5 linked regions of the Coturnix japonica genome follow. The protein of the gene in region 5 interacts with the protein of the main gene of each other region in a biochemical or structural test. Links are inferred from orthologs where the notes say so. Each region holds a gene or a part of one and is shown on either strand. Other genes may lie near its edges.

Evidence for each region.
Region 1: the proteins of BCL2L1 (region 5) and VDAC1 form a complex in vitro, tested with the Homo sapiens proteins (4 studies listed by BioGRID). The link is inferred for Coturnix japonica from reciprocal best matches to the Homo sapiens genes BCL2L1 and VDAC1.
Region 2: the proteins of BCL2L1 (region 5) and BMF interact in a test that uses a peptide from one of them, tested with the Homo sapiens proteins (2 studies listed by BioGRID). The link is inferred for Coturnix japonica from reciprocal best matches to the Homo sapiens genes BCL2L1 and BMF.
Region 3: the proteins of BCL2L1 (region 5) and PMAIP1 interact in a biophysical measurement, tested with the Homo sapiens proteins (3 studies listed by BioGRID and IntAct, with this or other methods). The link is inferred for Coturnix japonica from reciprocal best matches to the Homo sapiens genes BCL2L1 and PMAIP1.
Region 4: the proteins of BCL2L1 (region 5) and SIVA1 form a complex in vitro, tested with the Homo sapiens proteins (2 studies listed by BioGRID and IntAct). The link is inferred for Coturnix japonica from reciprocal best matches to the Homo sapiens genes BCL2L1 and SIVA1.

The regions. Positions count from the first base shown.
Region 1 is NC_029528.1:2,133,938-2,137,450, forward strand, and holds part of VDAC1 (voltage-dependent anion-selective channel protein 1), read right to left. Parts: intron 3,193-3,513; coding exon 3,040-3,192; intron 2,950-3,039; coding exon 2,897-2,949; intron 1,233-2,896; coding exon 1,005-1,232; intron 1-1,004. UniProt on the Homo sapiens protein: Non-selective voltage-gated ion channel that mediates the transport of anions and cations through the mitochondrion outer membrane and plasma membrane.
Region 2 is NC_029520.1:27,123,341-27,126,853, forward strand, and holds part of BMF (bcl-2-modifying factor), read right to left. Parts: intron 2,724-3,513; coding exon 2,560-2,723; intron 1,785-2,559; exon of another isoform or gene 1,484-1,784; intron 1-1,483. UniProt on the Homo sapiens protein: May play a role in apoptosis. Isoform 1 seems to be the main initiator.
Region 3 is NC_029547.1:8,679,725-8,683,754, forward strand, and holds the start of PMAIP1 (phorbol-12-myristate-13-acetate-induced protein 1), read left to right. Parts: upstream 1-1,218; 5' UTR 1,219-2,484; coding exon 2,485-2,536; intron 2,537-2,683; coding exon 2,684-2,841; 3' UTR 2,842-4,030. UniProt on the Homo sapiens protein: Promotes activation of caspases and apoptosis. Promotes mitochondrial membrane changes and efflux of apoptogenic proteins from the mitochondria. Contributes to p53/TP53-dependent apoptosis after radiation exposure. Promotes proteasomal degradation of MCL1.
Region 4 is NC_029520.1:46,911,699-46,915,172, reverse strand, and holds SIVA1 (apoptosis regulatory protein Siva), read right to left. Parts: upstream 2,311-3,474; 5' UTR 1,923-2,310; coding exon 1,805-1,922; intron 1,729-1,804; coding exon 1,537-1,728; intron 1,452-1,536; coding exon 1,295-1,451; intron 746-1,294; coding exon 688-745; 3' UTR 508-687; downstream 1-507. UniProt on the Homo sapiens protein: Induces CD27-mediated apoptosis. Inhibits BCL2L1 isoform Bcl-x(L) anti-apoptotic activity. Inhibits activation of NF-kappa-B and promotes T-cell receptor-mediated apoptosis.
Region 5 is NC_029535.1:9,011,386-9,015,634, forward strand, and holds the start of BCL2L1 (bcl-2-like protein 1), read left to right. Parts: upstream 1-1,437; 5' UTR 1,438-1,609; intron 1,610-2,402; exon of another isoform or gene 2,403-2,527; intron 2,528-2,943; exon of another isoform or gene 2,944-3,073; intron 3,074-3,151; exon of another isoform or gene 3,152-3,269; intron 3,270-3,462; 5' UTR 3,463-3,572; coding exon 3,573-4,124; intron 4,125-4,249. UniProt on the Homo sapiens protein: Potent inhibitor of cell death. Inhibits activation of caspases. Appears to regulate cell death by blocking the voltage-dependent anion channel (VDAC) by binding to it and preventing the release of the caspase activator, CYC1, from the mitochondrial membrane.

The sequences.
Region 1 (3,513 bases), on a different chromosome or scaffold from region 5:
AATGTTTGGAACTACTACAGCATGACAAAGTTGAAAGCCATTATGCCTGAAGGAATAGCTCGTAACTGCTGAGCAGAGGGGGACCCCTTGTATCGGTCCGATGGAAGTTTCCTGCCCACATTTCTGTGCTTTGGCAGTCCTTCAAACACTGCCTGGGCTATGAAGGTTCATTTGTTCTGTAAAGCAACTTCCTAAACCAGATCTCTGCGAAACAGCGTGAGACAGAACAGAAAGCCTTTGAAGCAGCAGCTCCGGGAAAGCAGAACGGTTGTTCAGCCCTGAAATGGGAACAGCCTGCAACAGCTCTGCTACATGCAAAAATGCAGTTAGCCAACGGAGTGGTAGAGGGTGTGGAGCAGAGATTGCTTCATCTTAATTAAAAACAAAGCAAAAAAAGCCTGTCTTACTGCAGACATGAACTGCTTTTTTTAAGAGGAACAGGAGGCACAAAAATCAAGTTTTCGAGGAATTTAATCCTGGTTTCTCTCTGCACAAACATTTGGAAAACACTAACGTTTGTGTATTGAGATCATTATGAGCTGCAGTACTAAGGCAAACTTTTCAGTCATATCCCTTCCAATCTTGAAGCTAAACCACTCCGTATCTGTCCCACTGGATCCCCTCTGTCTGTTACTGCCATCTGATTAAACTCCTCCTTCTACAGATCAAACCAGCACAGTTAATTCAATTGTTACGTGTGCAAAAGGGAAGCATTGCTTTGACTTCAACATTCACAGACAATATTTTTGAAACCCTCTTGTTTCCTGATTTCACAAAGAGGCTGCAGCAATCGCTGTGTGTCTGACGGATGGACTATGGATGCACCCACACACACGTGGAAAGCTAATGCAACTGTAAAACTCTGCTCGCCATCCCAAGTGAAGAAGCAACATCAGAGCCACCTCCCCCTCTATTCAAGTTTTGAAACTCTGCCCCATCACTGTTTTGGAAGCATCAAAATGCTCTTAAATTCATTTTAATGCCCACCACCCTCCAATACTTACACGTTAGTGTGAAGCTGGAACTCATCAGTCTTATAGCCGACAGCAAAATTGCTCTGGGTTACTCTCGACTTTGCTGTCTCAAAAGTCATTTGGTAACCTGCCAACCAGCCCTCGTAGCCAAGCACCAGGGCTCCACGTATCGAAGGACCGGCGATATCAAAATCCATGTCGCAGCCCAGGTTGATGTGTTCCCTTTTGTATCCTGTCTTAATCTTAGCACTCTTTTTCCTAAAGCAAAGAGAAAGAATCTCACATCCTTGAACTGGCACTCTCAGGTGGCAATTCAATCAAATCAGTTACTTTAACTCTGTGTAACAGATTTTGAAGACAAAGTATCCGTGTTTGCAGAGTCAAATGATACATCGCCTTCTTAAATTCCAGAGTTGTGAGACTTTCATTCACCTACAAAGAAGTGCACGCAATCACATGCAGTGCGGTGCTTTTCTAAGCCCTTCTGAGCTGCATCCTGCTGAGCAACAGCACAGTGTGCCAGATTTGAAGTGACAAAAGCCAATCCTCACCACAGTCTGATTTCTCAGTAGTTTAGGAGTGACAAGGGAATAACAGAAACCAACAGTTTACAGGTTTGCCAACGACCAAAGCAGTTCACCTTTCGTCCCAGACAAACAGCTTTTAGGCAATCCTGGTTACTGCGTAACTTCATTTACTCTGCCAGACAACAGCAAAACACTTTTTTGCCTCCAGCTTCCCAGGGGAAGGTCTGAGCTGCTAAGGAAGCAGGTGCTGCAGCCCCCTTTCCTCCCTATGATGCATTACAGCACTGCGTGCTTACAGCAGTAACAAAGGCTAATTGCAGAAACAAACTTTCTCAAGTCACTTCCTTCTTTTGCCCTTCCTGACCTCTTGGCCAGGATCATTTACCAAATCATTTACTGAAATCCTACCAGAAAAGTAAGGCTGATAGGAAATTTCTAATCAACTGCCCACTTCAGCCAGCAGAAAGAGTCCCCATGATCTGCAAAACATGCTGTATCAGACCTGCATAGAGATTGCTCTCTATTATTATTATTTCTAACTCAGGAATTTATGACGAGCAGGAGTCCCGGAAATGCCAGCATTAACCTGCCTGCAATTACTGCAGAAGCTGAGAAATGATTATTAACAAAAACTGGAGACTATTCTGCTTGACAAATGCAAAAATATGCGGTTAATTCAGAGTAAAGAATGGGCAGCAAGCAGTTGGCAGCGGGGAACGTGACATTTCAGGCAGGATGAAGCCTCCATTGGGACTAGAAGCACTGCAGCACGCTGCTCTGAGCAGCTCAGAGCGGAGCATTTTGGCTCAGTGGCAACACTGATTGCAAAAAGATAATCAAGAGGGGACAGAAAATAAACCAGCATACAGCCCTACAGCTGCTGCTTAATCCCTCTGGCCCACATAACCGTGACATCCAATCGCAGGGTGCAGCACCACGGCACTGTGCGGCCAGCAGGAACTCAAGATGACAAATTCAGCTTGGGAAAAGAGCCCAATTACTGTGCCGACCTATTAGAGCCACAGCCAACTGGCTTGTGGAGCTTGTTAAGCTTTGCATTACAGCTGATTTGTCTGGCATTTTTATTCAGGCAGGAACGAAGTGCTCATTTTCTGACATGGCCAGAAGTAAAGCAGAAACAAAACATTTCCTTCTGATTCTGGCCATAATTTCCAAGTTAGTGCATTTCAAAGTTCGGTTTAGAGAGCAATTGTTCATTTTAAGAGTGAAGTCAAACAGACACGATTTCATTGTGCATAGGCAGAGCATTAAATGTCTCGATGTCTTTGGACAACAGAAGGAGTAAGGAAGACAGTATTTTGGGAAACTAAAACAGAACCAGAAAAAGCTTTTTTGTGTGCATGTGTGTCTCTCTGAAGCTTACTGACATCTTACCCAGTGTTAGGTGAGAAGGAGGAGTCAAAAGTCAGCTTCAGGCCACGTGCAAGCTGAACAGAAAAGAAATTCACTGGTTGGATTTCTAGTCAGACACTGTCACAAGTGAATCTGGAAGCTGCATGTTTGAAGCCCAGAGTTACCTGGTCTTCAAGAGTGATCTCAGTTCCCAGCGTGTTGTCAGTGTTCCACTTCTCTGTGAACATCAGCCCATATTCCACCCATCGGTATTTGGTTTCCAAGCTCCCACTGACTTTGCTTGTTTCCGAGTTTGCTGAACCTGAGCTTGTAAATTCCTGAAGAGGAAAAAGAAAATGATATGTATCACTCTGTTGCTTGTACTCATGTGATGACTGATCTTCATAGAATTATTATTTGTTGTAATTTGGGACAATAAGATCTGCATCTTTCTCAAAGGTGCTCAGAAGAACACACAGCACATCCCTGCAGAGCCTGCTCCAAATCCTGCGCAGAGCTGCACCATAAAGGCATGGCAGCCTGCAGGGCTATAGTATAACTGAAAGCTGATATGGGGAGATCAAGGAAGACACACTTCTATTTTTAAAAAGGAATACAGGGCAGACATAGGAACACTGCCGTGTTTGGGATTTCAGTCC
Region 2 (3,513 bases), on a different chromosome or scaffold from region 5:
ATGGGGTTAGATTGTGCGTGCAGCTGAGTCCAATGACAACTCAGTGACGTCAACCTCAGCAGCAATTGCCTGTTTAGTTCCCTCTCACAGCCAGGGAACGACCAACAGCCTTTGTGTCAACACAGCTCTGCTGCTGCAGGAGTAACATGAGCGCTATACCTGAACTGCTGGAGTGTCTCACAGAACTCAAGAGCCAAGTGAGGGCAACTCTTGAGCTGGCCACATGAATTACTCCAACACTGAAAGTCTCTCCTAACTCCTGCTGAATGAGAGCATGTTTTTTTCTTTTCACAAGTTCCCAGATAAGATGTTTTATAGTCCCCAAGAAGAGGCACAGCTTGCTGAAAACCAGACATGCTCTTTCTCAGGACTTCACAAGACCACAGTGGTGTGACTAACTCTGTGGTTTTCTAAATCTGATTCTAGACATCACTTTGGGAAGCTGATTATGACTGGCACTTTGAGACAGGTTGGAATGGGGCATCCAAATCTGTGTTCAGTTTTGCAGCAAGCCAGATGACAGCCTGGTTTTCCATGTCCCAGACTGCCCCACAACACATTGTCAAGCCAGTCCATGCCTCTCCAGATTCAGACTGTTCAGTTCCTCAGTGGCAGGCTGCAAAAAGTCACTGCACACAGGACATAGGGGCTGCATGAAGCCATGCCAAAAGCCATAGGAAATCCTCCATGCAGGGCTTGGAGGGGACTGGACATGTCAACAAAACACTCCATGGGGAACAGTGCCTCAGACACTACGATGTGGCTCAGCAAGAAGTTCCCCTGACAAACGAGAAAGAATCCCCCAGCAGATACGAATGCCAAAGCCTGTCCCAGGGTCGGGCTGTGGAGAACCACTGGCTGAACTATTCCATCCTCGGTTACGTTTCTGGATTTCTTCGGTTTTGTTTTCAAACGTAAATGGCTGAACAGCTCCCCCCCTTTACAACTTGTTGCTCTTCCAGTCCAAACAAAGACGGCAGAGCTCCTCCTCCGCTGGCTGCAGGATTGGGTAGTGCAGGCGGACGCCTTTGTTTACTAACTCTCCCACATGCTTGGCCGGCACGCACTGGGGCTGGCCGGGCAGCCCGAGCCGCAGCCCTGCGTACAGCGCAGGAGGCTGGCAGCTCCCCGCGGCCAAAGGCAGCAAAAGCCAGAGCAGGGGCAGCTTCAGAGCGCTGCTTTGGGTGGGCATTCTTGGATGCGTTTCCAAGGCATAGATATGAGTTTAGTCCCCGAGATGCAAGGGGTCAAGTTACAACCAGTTCCACCACTTTACTCCAGGGCTCCTCCACTCTGGAGACATTCGCCTTCCTTTTACTGAGACAATCTGGCTGTAGATAGCTATTGCGATGAAAAGGTGTCGCTGGGGAAAACCCCGTTCAACCAGCAACACATGCTAAAAAGCTTGAGGTTGTTCATCGTTTTCTGTGATTTGCAAAATGACATTCATAGCCCAATTCACCTTTCTATCTTCCTGTTACAGCTTTAACATCCCCTTAAGAAGAGTCCTGTTTCCCTCTTTCTTATCACAGAGACAACTAAAACTTTGCCCTCCTACAAGCCACATCCTCTGATCAGGGCAGAGCTCCTCACTTACCTTTGAAAAGAATTGAAACAGACTTCAAGTTAACAACACCAACACATTTGGAATGAGATAAGCTTTTGAAGTCACTCTCTGAAGTCAGCAAGAGTGTCAACTTCTTCATATGCACAGTTGGATACAAACTGCAACACCCTGCTGGACTTGCATACAAGTAGTAAAGTGCTGCCGAACTCTGGCCACCGATCTCTGCATGGCTGGGATGTCTACTTGTTTACCATTCAGTAGGGGAAGGAAGGGAGAATGGAGAAAGGATCTACATTTTTAAGGGACATGGCTTTTGTTTCTTTAAAAAACAGCAAAGTACTTTTTTTTCTTTTTTCTTTTCTTTTTTTTTAAAGAAAAGTAAAACAAGATTCTGTTTTTCAGACCTGATGGCATTTTACAGCTCTATTATGTTGTGAGGAAGTTGGTCACAAATCTGAGACACCAGCTAGGACTGTCCCACAGAGGAGCTGCTAGCAAGTCCAGCATGATCATAGTGCACTCTATTACTTGAGACATCTATCCCTAGACAACAAGGAGTGCCAAAACAGACTCTAGGCTTGTTGTCATCTCCAAAATGAGGAACTGACACAAGTCACAGACAACCAGCTGTACCACAGAAGACGTGATGATGGAGGTAAGGAGAGCGGAGAAGAAAAGTAAAATGCTAGGGAAAGCATCAGTGACCCTGTTGCTGATGAACCAGGAGAGCCAGAATAGCAGACAACAGCAGCTACCCTCCCAGACAATAAGTGCAGTTCTATACATGCTCTTCCCCCTACCTGCCAGTCTTTTACAGTGATCCATCAATCTAGCATGAGCAAAATACATAGGTATACCATGCTGTTTTGTCACTACTGGCAGCTCGTGGCTGCCTTAGGCAACAGCCTGCTTAGCTGAAGCCTGGAGCCAATCTTCTGGAGCACCACTCTTGGATAAGAAAGACCCCACCATCCCCTCTGGAAACACCCTACCCGCTGTATGTGGAGCCGGTGGAACTGGTCTGCAATGCACTGCAATTTCCGTGCAATCTGCACCTCAGTACGTGCCTCCCGCTGACCTTCCTGAGGCTCTTCTTGGAGATTTGGATCCAAAGCAAAGCCAACTGGAGGGACATGTAAGCGGTAACCAGCATTCCCTACAAAACAAAGACCAGCAGAGTCATTCTCCTAGCACAAAGAGTAGTTCTTTTATTCAGTATTACACTTCAGGCATACAGAAAGAGTTGCACATAATCCTGATTTTTTGACTCATTTTAAAGTCCAGTTTCTAAAGCCCAAGCAATGACCACATACACCATATGCATGCAGTACAGATTTAATTTGCTCAGCTTAAATTAGATTTATAACAATTAAGCATAACATTGTGTTGCTTCCCCTAATCAAATGACTGGATCTTCAACTTGGTTCTTTCTGCTTGTTTATGGTTCAGACGAGTGCAGAGGTGTTCGTTTTTCTTTAATGACAGTTTTACATCTCTTCCAACATCATTGCCTTAAGTTGTCCCCCTTTAAGGTTTTCTGTATGTGCTATGCCTTCAGACTTTTCTCAGTTGTTTTCTTGGGTGTTCAGTGGGACTGACTTGAATTAAGGTTGGACTGAGTACACAATACTGAATGATGTCCCATCAGTTACCAGTAAAGTGCTACTTATTCAACATGCTTAATTCCAGTAAAGAGCCTAAAGTCTGTCCCATTAGGTGGGAATTTTTTGCATTTTCTTCTCTTCATTGCAAACTTTCAGGAGGTTTTCTTATGTGGATGAGTAGCACAAGAGGTTTTTTTTTTTTAAAAAAAAAAAAAAGCAGGTAAATGGTAGGCTATGGCGGATGGTGAACATTTTAATGCCTGGCAGCAAAATAAAGTGACAGAATAAAGTGAAAAAGAAAAAAAAGTAGACGTATCAAGTACAGCAAAAGCAACCAGCAAG
Region 3 (4,030 bases), on a different chromosome or scaffold from region 5:
TTAACTCTGTTCCTACCCATTTTCCCCCAGGCTATGCCCATGGCCCCACAGCTTTCAAGACCACTCTAAGGAGCAGCCTCCTGGGGTGCTGCTCTTCCCACAGCCATGCTGCTTTGTTTAGAGGAACTGAAACCAACAGTGTCAGAGCTCACTGGCAGCCTGTAACCACAGCAGGTTATTTTTCACCCTGCCACATTGAGCAAGGCAAAGAGTGGCCCCACAGCCACAGCCTCATTGCCCACCAGCATCCAGCAAGCTCCTCCTGTGGCAGTGGGCTCTCTGCCCTGCACATAGGAGGGCTGCAGCAGCAGGGCATGCAGAGGTGAGCACTGCAGGTGCCCTGGCCCGTAAACCCAATTTGCACACTGAAGACTCCCATTCTTCTTTTTGCCCTACAACTGTTCTCAAGTAACAAAAAGAAATAAATGAACCTTGCCAATCAGCTAGTCCACTGATCTGTGCACTGCTGCCCTGGCAGGTGGAAGTATCTCCAAAAGAAGAGAGACCGTCTCTTGGTGCTGCTGCAGGGGCAGTAGGATGAGCTACCTTTAAAGGCTGTTCCCCGTTTTGGCAAGGGAGTCTTTCTAAGCTGGGCAGATGCTCAGAGGATGGAGCAGCTGTTCTATGAAGAAAGGCTGAGAGAGCTGATCTTGACAGCCTGGAGAAGAGTAGACTGCAGGGACATCTCGCTGCGACCTGACAGTACTTGAAGGGAGATTATAAGCAGAAGACTTTTTATGCAGTCTGACAGTTGATAGGACAAGGTCCTCCTTAAAACTAAAAGAGGGGAGATTTTAGATTTAGAGTAGATATTAGGGAGAAATTCTTGACTCAGGTCAGTGAGGTCCTGGCACAGACTTTCCAGAGCAGCTGTGGTGCCCCATCCCTGGAGGTGCTCAGAGCTGGGTTGGATGAGGCCCTGAGCAGCCTGAACTAGTGGGGACAGCCAGCCCATGGCAGGGGCTGGGTTGAGGCTGGGGCAGATTTGAGGTCCCATTCTGTTCAATTAATTCAGTGATCCTATGATATATCAAGATTGAGGGGCACTGGTTTTTATGCCTGAGTAGTAGATCTCTCTCAAATTGTTTCTGGCTCCACTTAAATGAGCTAAATAAATGCTTGCAGCAATTCTCCTTTCTCATGCTTTGCTCCTCCGTTCCTTCTCCTCAGTTTTTGTTCTGTGGGGAGGACAACAAGAGGGCTGATGTGTCCCTGTTCCCTGCTGAAGCTGCTGAGCACTGCTGTTCATGGGGTTGTGGGCAGTGCACACTTGTGGGCAGCCAAGGGACACCCGCCACATGGACAATGCACCCCAGGGCTATTTGCTGCCTCCCTGCCACCTAAACCCAACAGACCTGTTTGGAGAGAGAGTTTCTCCCATAACAGGAATCAAAGGCCAAAGGGCACCTTTCTCAGTATGGGCCTGCATTACAAACACATGTGCTGGTATGGATGTGAAATGACCCTAAAAACATCACATCTAGCCAATAAGCCTGTATACCATGTAGGTATTATATCATAAGCTGAGAGACGAGGACAGATAAAAGAAAGTGCCAGAGGGCCCTGACACAGTGCCTGCCCGGTGCACCTCACTGTGCTGCAGCCTCAGCTGTGCAATATCCACACCCGGCTGTGGATTCCAGCAAGGCACCCTGAGACACGCAGGGAAAAGGAGCTCTGAACTGAGCTGGTGAAGTTTCCTCTTCCAACAGACAGCAATCAGCTTTGTAGACACTTGTCCCAGAGGCTCTGATCCCACAGGAAAGCACTTCCTGACCTCCCAATTGCAGTGTCTTTTCCTGCTTGTAGCTGCGTTGCAATGGGAAAGGTGGGTATACATTGCACCCAGCCTCAGATCAGCTCTTTGTTACGTCTGACCCTTCTTGCTCTCTTTCTGTCCACCTGTTTTCGTTTTCAGGTAAACACAAACAGCCATCACACCAAACTTTCCTGCAGACAGATGACTCACTGGCGGAGCTCTGGCAGCTCTCCCAAAACTATGCTACGATCACAAAAGTCACGAGGGCCATGCGGCAATTTCAGCTTTGCTTCCGTGTAGCACAACCTGGACTTGCAGGTGAGCTGCCAGAGCTGCCTGGGCACTGCGTGCGGGTCCAGCAGCAGGGTAGAACCCTGAGCTGCAGGTGTAGGTCAGCATCCTTCTACCTCCCATACACTGCGCATCCTTACACTGTTTTAACACAAGTACACCCCCCCATCCCGCACACCCATCCCCTCCCCCTCATCACGCCCCGCACCCCGCTTTATTTCTGCGTTCCTCCACCGGTCCGGGCTCGCTCCGACACGCTCCCGCCACGGTGGGGGAGGGATTCCCGCACTGTTCCTGACGTCACTACGAGGGAAAACCCCGCCGCGCTCCGCTTTTAGGGCGCGCATCGCCCCGCCTGCCCGCAGTGTCCCGCCGCCGCCGAGCCGTGTGGATCCGGACTGCGCCGAGCCGAACCGAGCCGAGCTGTTGCCGCGATGATGCCCGGCAGGACGATACGCAAACCTGCTCCACCCGCCGAGCCTGCAGGTAGGGCGAGGAGAAAGGAGACAGGTCTCAGGTGTTTTTATTGCGGGGGAGAGTTTGATGCTGGAAAAAAACACGCTTTTCCTTTTTCCTCTTCCTTTTTCTACTTGATATTCTTCTTGCTTTCCCCTGTGCCGCTACCTGGAATAGACCTCGCTCGAATTAAATCCCCACCTCCCTGCGCGTGCCTTGCAGAGAGGGACGCGGTGGCTGAGTGCGCCGTGGAGCTGCGCAGGATCGGCGACAAGGCGGACCTCAGGCAGAAGATCCTGAACCTCATCACTAAACTCTTCTGCCCCAAGACGTGATCCGCCGCCCCCGCAGCGCTGAGAAAGAAAGGGGGAAGATTTCGACTTTGCAGATCTGGAACGAGAGATTTCACTTACACTGGGAGATGGAGGGGAAAAAAAAAAAAAGCTCTTTGATTTGTGTTTTGCTACCTGCAGACGCCGAGGGATGGCTGTCACCATGTGATTTCTTTGGGAAGTGTTACAACGTTATTGCTTTATGGATGCTAAGTTGGGGGAAAAAATGGAGGCAATGAGCACCGGCCCCTCGCTACGTAGTGAGGGGCAGGTTGGAACTTGTTCTTCTTGGGGCTGGGGAACCCTGTGACAACCCCACCTCCCCTGTTGCCTTCGCATCCCACATCCCAGCCAGGAACTGCGGACAGAAAGGTTCCGAAGCAAAGAAAGAAGTTGTGGAACGTGGGCATGAGTCAACAAGGTGAAAGCCGGCGTTCAGGTTCTGACTGCCCTTATCTTCTACAGCTCGGATTCTGCTGGATGGGGAAGTGGTGGTGTTGGGGATATCTCATTTGTTCATTAAAACCACTGCTTTAATATAAAGGTTATTTGTTGTAGCAAGTGGCTTTGGGGATAAAAAAAAAATGCAATTCTGTGAATTAATGTGATATTGCATAGTTATAGTCTATATATTATATATATGTATATATTTGCATAGATATATATTACATATATATAAAATATGCGTACCCCTTTGTATGAGAGGAGTGTTTCACAGACCTGTTAAGTGAATGCTACTTCTTTAGGCTCAAAGAGTAGCATGAAAAAATGCTCAAAACATGATGGAAATAGTTCATATTAAGCAGAAGAGAAAGCACTCTCTTTTCTGATGGTACAGGAAACACTTCTTGAATTACAGAGGGGAACATAATTTAGTATACCATTAGATAATTAATACAAATGTATAGTACAGAAATACTGAGGTATGATGTATGTTGTGTGGAAGGTTTCTTCCAACACTGAAAAGAAGTTTTTGATGACAATACAGCTCCTCTGTGTGTTTTTCTGAGTAGCAAAATAACTTATCAAGAGACCATAACGTCGAATCTGAGTCAAAGATCAAATTTTCTTTGGATCGCCATTTTTTCAAGGAAGGCAGCCGCCTCCCTGTGAAGAAATCATAAGACAGATTGTTACAGTCAGTACAGGAAAGCAGCCGCAATCTTTATTCATTCTGTACGGGAAAATCCTT
Region 4 (3,474 bases), on a different chromosome or scaffold from region 5:
TTGCTAATGCTGCCACCGTGTGGACGTAACACAAAACAACTTCGGGACAGCTGAGAGAAAAGTGTTGTCCAAGCCTTTAACCCAAAGGCCTCAGGTACATTCACACCTCCCAAACCAGGGGGCCAACACTGGGCTGCATCACCTGTACATCACAAATCCAGCAGGCTTAAAACATTCCTACAGTGATGCTGTTTCTTGGTATCTCCTGACTAGCAAACGTAGCACACAAACTATGCATAGGCCAGTCCTGAGCAGGTCAGTTCAGGCATGGCTGACTACTCTTAACTAGTTCACTGCATGTTTTGTGTTCAGGATAGATTACACTCACCTGGAAGCACATAAGGAACACGCCATTTCTATTCCGATCCACACAAAGAGTGTCTTGATATGAGCAATGAGAGAGACTGACTTCTGTGTGGCACAAGGAATAGCAGGTAAGAGCACAAAGCAGCCCATTCCAAACGTGTCACAAACGTGAGCAAAGCAAGAGCTAACTCAAAACAACGCAGAAATCCTCAAAATATAAAAGTTTATTTAACTACAATATTAAAAAGTACAATATAAAGATATAAAACATAGAAATCCCATCATTGGTTCAGGGGTTAAAGGCATTAACTGGCCAGCTGTAAGGAGGAGCCTTCATGGAATTTACAGGCAGTTTAGCACTAAAGGCTATTTCATCTGCTTTCAGACTTGAAATATTGAACAGCCATTGCAGAGAATTTGCTCACCAACATCAGCGTAGCTGGAGGGGGGGGAAAAAAGAAGAAAGAAAAACAAGAAGTCAGAGTGCATTCACCTTTCTTGGAACACAAATCATAGAATCATAGAATTACCCAGGTTGGAAAAGACCTTGAAGATCATCAAGTCCAACCGCAGCCCAACCATAGTACCCTAACTCTAATAACCCTCCATATGACTCCGAGCACAACACCTTCTTTATATCACAGCACCCTTAATGACAACATGGAGCTCTTAACGTCACTCCTTGGGAGTGCATTTGTTCGTCACTGGCCAGAATAGGACACTGCTGTTGAAATAGCAAGAGGAATAATTGCCACCTTGAGCACATAAATGAAAAGCTGAACTAGGCTTTCATTAAGATCGATTAAGCTGCTTCACACAGGCATTTCATTTCCCACGTTTCACGCAGTTTTATTGCTCCTAATTCAATATCCAAGGAGTTTCAGTCAATTGGATGTATGAGTTAGATGACTGCTGAGGCTTCATAAACTACAGCAGGTCGTCAGGGTGCACGGAGTGACAAGAATCCAAGAAGTCCAAAGGCACTTACTCAGTGATGGAGCACAGGGAGCAGGTCACGGCATTACAGCAGCTGCACACCCTGCTGCAGCTCTGGCACACGAACCGGTCGCACTGTGCACACGCTTCCTTCACATCAGCAGCTCTTACACATGAGGAGCAAGCTTTGGAAACTCCCACCGGAGGAACTGCTTAGAAAAGATACAATCAAGAAACTAGGAAAACAGAGAGAACAGCAGGAGCTGGTCAGCTCCGCTTGGTACCGCATCTCACCGCTCTCCGTGTTGGCCGTGCATCGCAGCAGTTTCCCGTTGGGCCCGATCCTCAGCTGCTCGCTCCGGCTCCGTCCCACGCTTCCCCCTCCCGACTCCGGCTCCGTGGAGCGGCTGGCGGCTCGTGGCGCTGCGGGCCAGGCGGGCTCCGTGCAGCTCTGAGCGGCCCTGAACAGCAGCCGCCGGGTGCGCTCTGCCGGCGGACACGAGAGGCGGGTTACGGGCGGCCGCGGCCCTTCACCCGCCCTTTCCTCCCCTCCCCGTCTCACCGTAGATCTCCCGGCGATACTCGTCGCCCCGCACCCCGCGGCTCAGCTCCTTCAGCCCCACGCGGGTCTTCAGCTGCAGCGGGGCCGCGTCCCCGAAGGGACACGAGCGCTTCGGCATCGCCTCCGCCAAAGGCACCGGGAACCGGCTGCGACGGCGCAGCGACCGCGTCACCGCCACGGGCACCAATGGAGCAGCGGGGCGGGAAGCGATGAGGGGCGGCGGGTGGCTCCGACCGAGCGCTGAGGCGGAGCTTCGGTGCTCGCAGGCTCCGTAATGCGGCCGAAATGCCGGGATATGGAGAGTCGTTGGTGGGATGTTCCCGTCTGACACACCGCCACGTTGGGCTTTTTTGCACGTACAGCCAACCTGCGGCCTTTACTCCTCAACAACATGTGTACACCTCATATCAAAGGTGCTATTATATATTACTGCTATGAGTGCCAGCACACAGCTCCACGTCATGTTCCTATGACTAGTAACTGAGTTCATGGCCTCATCTTGATGAGTTGTTTCAGGCACCAAAACTTGTATGATAAGCCAGCAAGGTGCAGGATTAATGCTGAAACAAGGGTTTGCCACCCTGGCACAGCAGCCAGTGCCTTCACTTAAGTTAGCACGACGTGGTTCTCGTAAGAGACACAACAGCTCTGCTCTATAGATCAGAATCCTCGAAGGTCCCACTTACACTAGAGGGCACTCTCAGGACTGTAAACAGCGTTGTTCATTTAATTCGAAGTGATCGTTCCAAGAACTCTGTGTTCAGAAAGTGCTATTCTGCTCCTCAGCCTGGATCTCTATGGGAGAGACACCAAGGCACTCATTGTATCTCTGTGCTCTCTGCTGAGCAGCCTGCACTAGTGTTGTGATATAGGCTATAAAAGTGATGTTCAGTACTAGGCCTACCACCCAGGGTGCCAACTAATAGATGTTATTATATGTGCCTGCCAAATGAGGACTACAGTATCTCAACACTTCGAAAACATTCAAATACATGAGTGCTTTATCCTGGAAAAGGCATCTCCTTGCCAAAGACATTCATGCACAGTGTTAAAGTGTGTACTACCTCCTGCTGCTGGCCAAAACCTGATGCATTAAAGGAGGTTATAAACAGTTTGTGTCCCCTTGTTTTTATCTTTCCCCATCTCCTGGACAGTCTCAGAGCTGATGAGCCAATATTGAATGCAAACACAGCTGCAGAAATGAACAGATATTAATAACGCACAAAGGTGCTTCAACAATTAATCTCTTGTGAGAATACGTAGATTAAATGGCAAAGTCTTGGAACTACTCTGCAGGTTTTAATACCTCACAATGACTGATATCCACATGGACAATACTTCACTTTTGACAAACAAGAGTTCAGGCCCACACAGGAGTAAAAGCAGCAGAAAGGAATTTCTGCCAGTTGTTCCCTGCCTTTCTTTTCCACAGACTTGTTGTCTGGATAAGAACGAACTTCCATGAGGTACAAGGAGTGGGCTACGGCTTGACCCCACATGAACTACTAGAAGTGAGTATGAATAAGGAAGCAATGTATTAATTGCAGCACTAGAAAGGCAAGATGTCAATGTCAATCTTGCCTTTCTTCCTGTTTTTAACACCCTACCCACATTCTTTCCTCCCTCTCAGCCTAAAGACTCTGCTCTCCAGCTGACATACAACAGATGGA
Region 5 (4,249 bases):
TGTACAGCACAGAACCAGCAGTGAATTCATCACCCTATAACCACAGCACAGAGCTATGCTACCACCCCATCATATAACACTGGGATTGAAGCAGTGAAGCCACACACATCACCCAGAGGGGAACGAGGTGCCAGCAGCCTTTGCCCTAAAGCTCCCCTTAATCTGTCCCCTGTCCAAGGGCTCAAAATAGAGCCCGGCCACCTCACACTCCGTAAATGAGATCCCACGGGTTCTAAGTGATACAGAGACAGGCACGGGCCTAAGAATAGCAGCCCAAGGAACCGGCTGGGTTATTTATAGGCAGGTAACCTCTGCTTATTATTAGATAAACTGACGTTCAAGCAACACAAAGAGCAGTATAACCATAGCCAATGTGACAGCAATGGCCTCACCAAGGGGCACCAATGGCCTCATCCTGACCCTTTTACTTCAATACCGAAGCATCAAATCCCTTTTCTCCCCCATTTCAGACACTGCTTTCTCCCCTTCCCCCCTCAGAGCCGTTCACAGCGTCAGGCTGCGGCCTACCCCCAACAAGCGGACAAAGGGGCCCAAAGCAGAACAGCAGCCCGTGCTGCCGGTACCGAGGCACACTCATGAAGCGGGGACAACACCAGGAAGGGCTGTGTGCGGCTGTGGGCAGCCCCGGTTGCCGTTGATTCCCGGTGTCCCCCCCCGTTCCTCACTCACCTCAGCGCCGCAGCCGCCGAGCGCGGGGCTTCTGCCCGCCGCCGTTAGAGGATTTCAAACGGGACTCGTCTTGTCCGAATGGACCAATCAACGCTCAGCTCACGCCCTCGTTGCGTGTTGATTGGACGGGCTGTCCAGACGTTAAAGAACCCGGATGAGCGCTCCCGCCCCTCCCGCGGGGGATGATGGGAAATGTAGGATTCGAACGGAAGGAACCGAAGCCTCAGCACCAGAAACAAACTGCTACTCCCATCATGCACAGGGAGAGAAAGGCTTCGACCAATCAGGGGAGGCGGGGCTCTGAAACAGCCAATCAGCTGCAGGGAGGCGGGTCTACCAGGCAGGGCCGGTTCCGCCCGTGTCTGCCCTCTGCCGAGTCTGCTCCTTGTTACCAACAGGTCAAGTCACCCGATTACAGCAGCCATAAGGATCCCCCCGCCCAGCCCCTCACTAACCTCACACCGCCCTCTATGGCCATGGATTCAAGCAGCCGCCTCATCCAGCCCTATGGCCACACCGGCCTTTCCCCGGCTGCAGCTCAGCTCCGAGTCACAGCCCCGAGTGCTGCGGGAACACAACGCACCTGCGGGCGGGGCAGCCGCCAGGGGGCGCTCGAGTCCAACCGGCCTCCTTGTCGCTGCGCATGCGCACTGCCACGGCCGCACAACGCACGCAGGCGCATGCGCACCGCACCTCAGACCGGCGGCGCCGCACGCATGCGCGCTGCCCCCTCCCTCCCTCCCGCCCCCCCCGGCTCGGCCCAGCAGCGCAATGTCCGCTCGGTGCTGATGCGGCGGGACACCGGGCACTGCTGACAGGCCCGACGGCCGGCTGGGCTCCCGGCCGAGCCCTGCGTCGTCACCGGTTGGGCCCATAGAGCGGGATCGGTCACAGCCCGGACCATCCACCGACCGCTGAGGTGAGGGGCGGAGCGGGGCAGGCCGTGAGTGACGGGCGGTTCCACCAATCAAAGCAGGCCGTTCTCTAGCTCCGCCCTCTCGGAGCTGTGGCGGCCGGTGATTGGCTGATGGCGAGGGGCGGGCTGTGTGCCCTATGGCGGCCCTCGTGTGCGGGCCCCGTGAGTGGGGACGGCGGCCGAGAGGGGCCATGGGAGCGGGTACGGCCTACAGCAACACCGGTACGAGGGGACCGGAGTGACGGCACTAAGGAAGCCGGGCTGTACGGCGAGACCCTGCCATAGTACCGGGGGGGAGCTCTTTGTTCAGCCGCCCTGTGGGTGCAGCACCCCGGGCTCTGCATCCTGCTGCCCCCAGCTCAGTGCTCCATGCATTGCATTGTATTGCATTGCATTGCATTGCATTACATTGCATTGCATTGTATTGTATTGCATTGCATTGTATTGTATTGTACTGCATTGTATTGCATTGCATTGCCCTGCAGCCCTTACCTGTGCCCCAGTCCTGCCCCACACTCTGACTCACCGCCAGGCTTTGGCACGAAAACCTTACAAAGAAACGCCAATTACTCAGAGCTCAACGCCGCCAGCAGAGGAGCGGCCCCTGCTTCCTTCATACATCAGAACGCTTCGTTATCTGCCTTTTGGAGAAGGAAAAGGCTCCACAACAGTGGGACCTCCCAGGGGCTGGCAGGGCTGGGGGCACCAGGAGGGCACGGAGCCTTGGCACTGAATAGGAGGGAGGGTAGGAGGGGTGGAGTGGGATGAGAGCACAGTGGGAGGGCTGGGGAGTTGCCTCCTCTCAGCGTCAAATTACTTTAATCCAACACCCTCAGCCAGAAGGAACGAGCTGCTGTTTCCCAGCCCGAGCTGCTATTTCCCAGGCTTTTCTCTGCCCTTTTTCTCAGGGTTGGGGTGTGGGTGAGTATAGAACAGTGACTCTGTGCTTTGTGCAGCCCTGCCTGCCCGCTGCTATGGGGCTTCGGGAGGAGCAGCCCCTCCGTGCTTTCCTTGCAGCCCCCAGGGTGGGGGGAATGCATTGCATGAAGGCTGCTGGGGTGCATGCAGGGACTGTAATACCTCGTGGGGAGGAGGGGCTGTGCAGAGGAAACAGCATTCAAACGACTGCAGGGACCTCAGTTTAAATAACATTACAAACAAACACCCTTTATTTCATCTGTGGTTTCATCTGCGTGTAGTTGCTGGAAGTCTTTAGAAGACTTCTCCTGGGGTTGTTCCTGTTCCTACCTTATTTCCAGGCCTGCTCCTCATACCGTGATACTGCACTGAGCCCTGCCATTCCCTTCTCCTCCAAAGGAGACCCCCGCACCTCTTACCTGCTGCTTTTAAAGGACACTTGGAGCCTTTCTCCCTCCCGTTCCCCCACGCTGGGGGCCGTTCCGAGGGACACGGGGCCGGGCCGAGCCACCGGGGATGGGAACGGGAAGCGGAGCCCGTAACCCAGCTCGGACACCGTCGGTCCCGCTGGGCAATGCCGGCGGGGGGCGCGGCCGGGCCCTTTAACGGGAGGGGCCGGGCGGGGGCGGTGCTGCCTCCGCCTCCGTGTCTCTCCGGGACTGACGGAGCGGAGCGGGGCCGGGCCGCCCGCAGCACCCGCAGCTCTCAGCCTCCGCCCGGCGAGCCCCGGCTCTGCCTGAGCCCGGTGAGCCCCGGGGCTGCGGGAGGGCTGAGGGTGACCCCGAGGGGGGATCCCCGTTCCGTGTGCGGCGGCGGTTCCGAGCGAAGCTGGGTGATGAGCTCAGTGTAACGTTAAGCTATTGATGTGCACGGCGCAGCAAGCTGTCGTGTTAACCGTTTCCTTGCCTCTCTTTTCCTCTCTGTGTGTCTGTGCAAAGGTCGGATGTGTTCGCCGGTGGTGAGGGAGCGTGGAGCCGGGAGCTGCTAAGTGTGCTTATCTGCTCGTGCACTGGACCATGGACTCATTGAGGGCGTTCCAGGTGTGAAAATGTCCGGCAGTAACCGGGACTTAGTGATTGACTTTGTTTCCTACAAGCTCTCGCAGAAGGGGCACTGCTGGAGCGAGCTGGAGGAAGAGGATGAGAACAGGACTGACACTGCGGCAGAGGCAGAGATGGACAGCGTCCTCAACGGGAGCCCATCGTGGCACCCGCCTGCCGGCCACGTAGTGAATGGAGCCACCGTGCACCGGAGCAGCATGGAAGTTCATGAAATCGTCGGAGCATCTGACGTGAGGCAGGCGCTGAGAGAAGCAGGGGATGAGTTTGAGCTGAGGTACAGGAGGGCTTTCAGCGACCTCACCTCCCAGCTCCACATCACCCCTGGCACGGCGTACCAGAGCTTCGAGCAGGTAGTCAATGAACTCTTCCACGATGGTGTGAACTGGGGGCGCATTGTGGCTTTCTTCTCCTTCGGAGGGGCTCTGTGCGTGGAGAGCGTGGACAAGGAGATGCGGGTACTGGTGGGACGCATTGTGTCTTGGATGACCACGTACTTGACCGACCATCTAGATCCCTGGATCCAGGAGAATGGCGGCTGGGTAAGAACTGCTCTCCCATAGGGATGGCTCCCTGCATCCTAGCTCAAGGCCAGATCAAGCTGCCTGCAGTGATTGTGCTTGTGCTCGGTCTAGACCTTGCAGGGCAAGAATTTGGTATGTGGCCC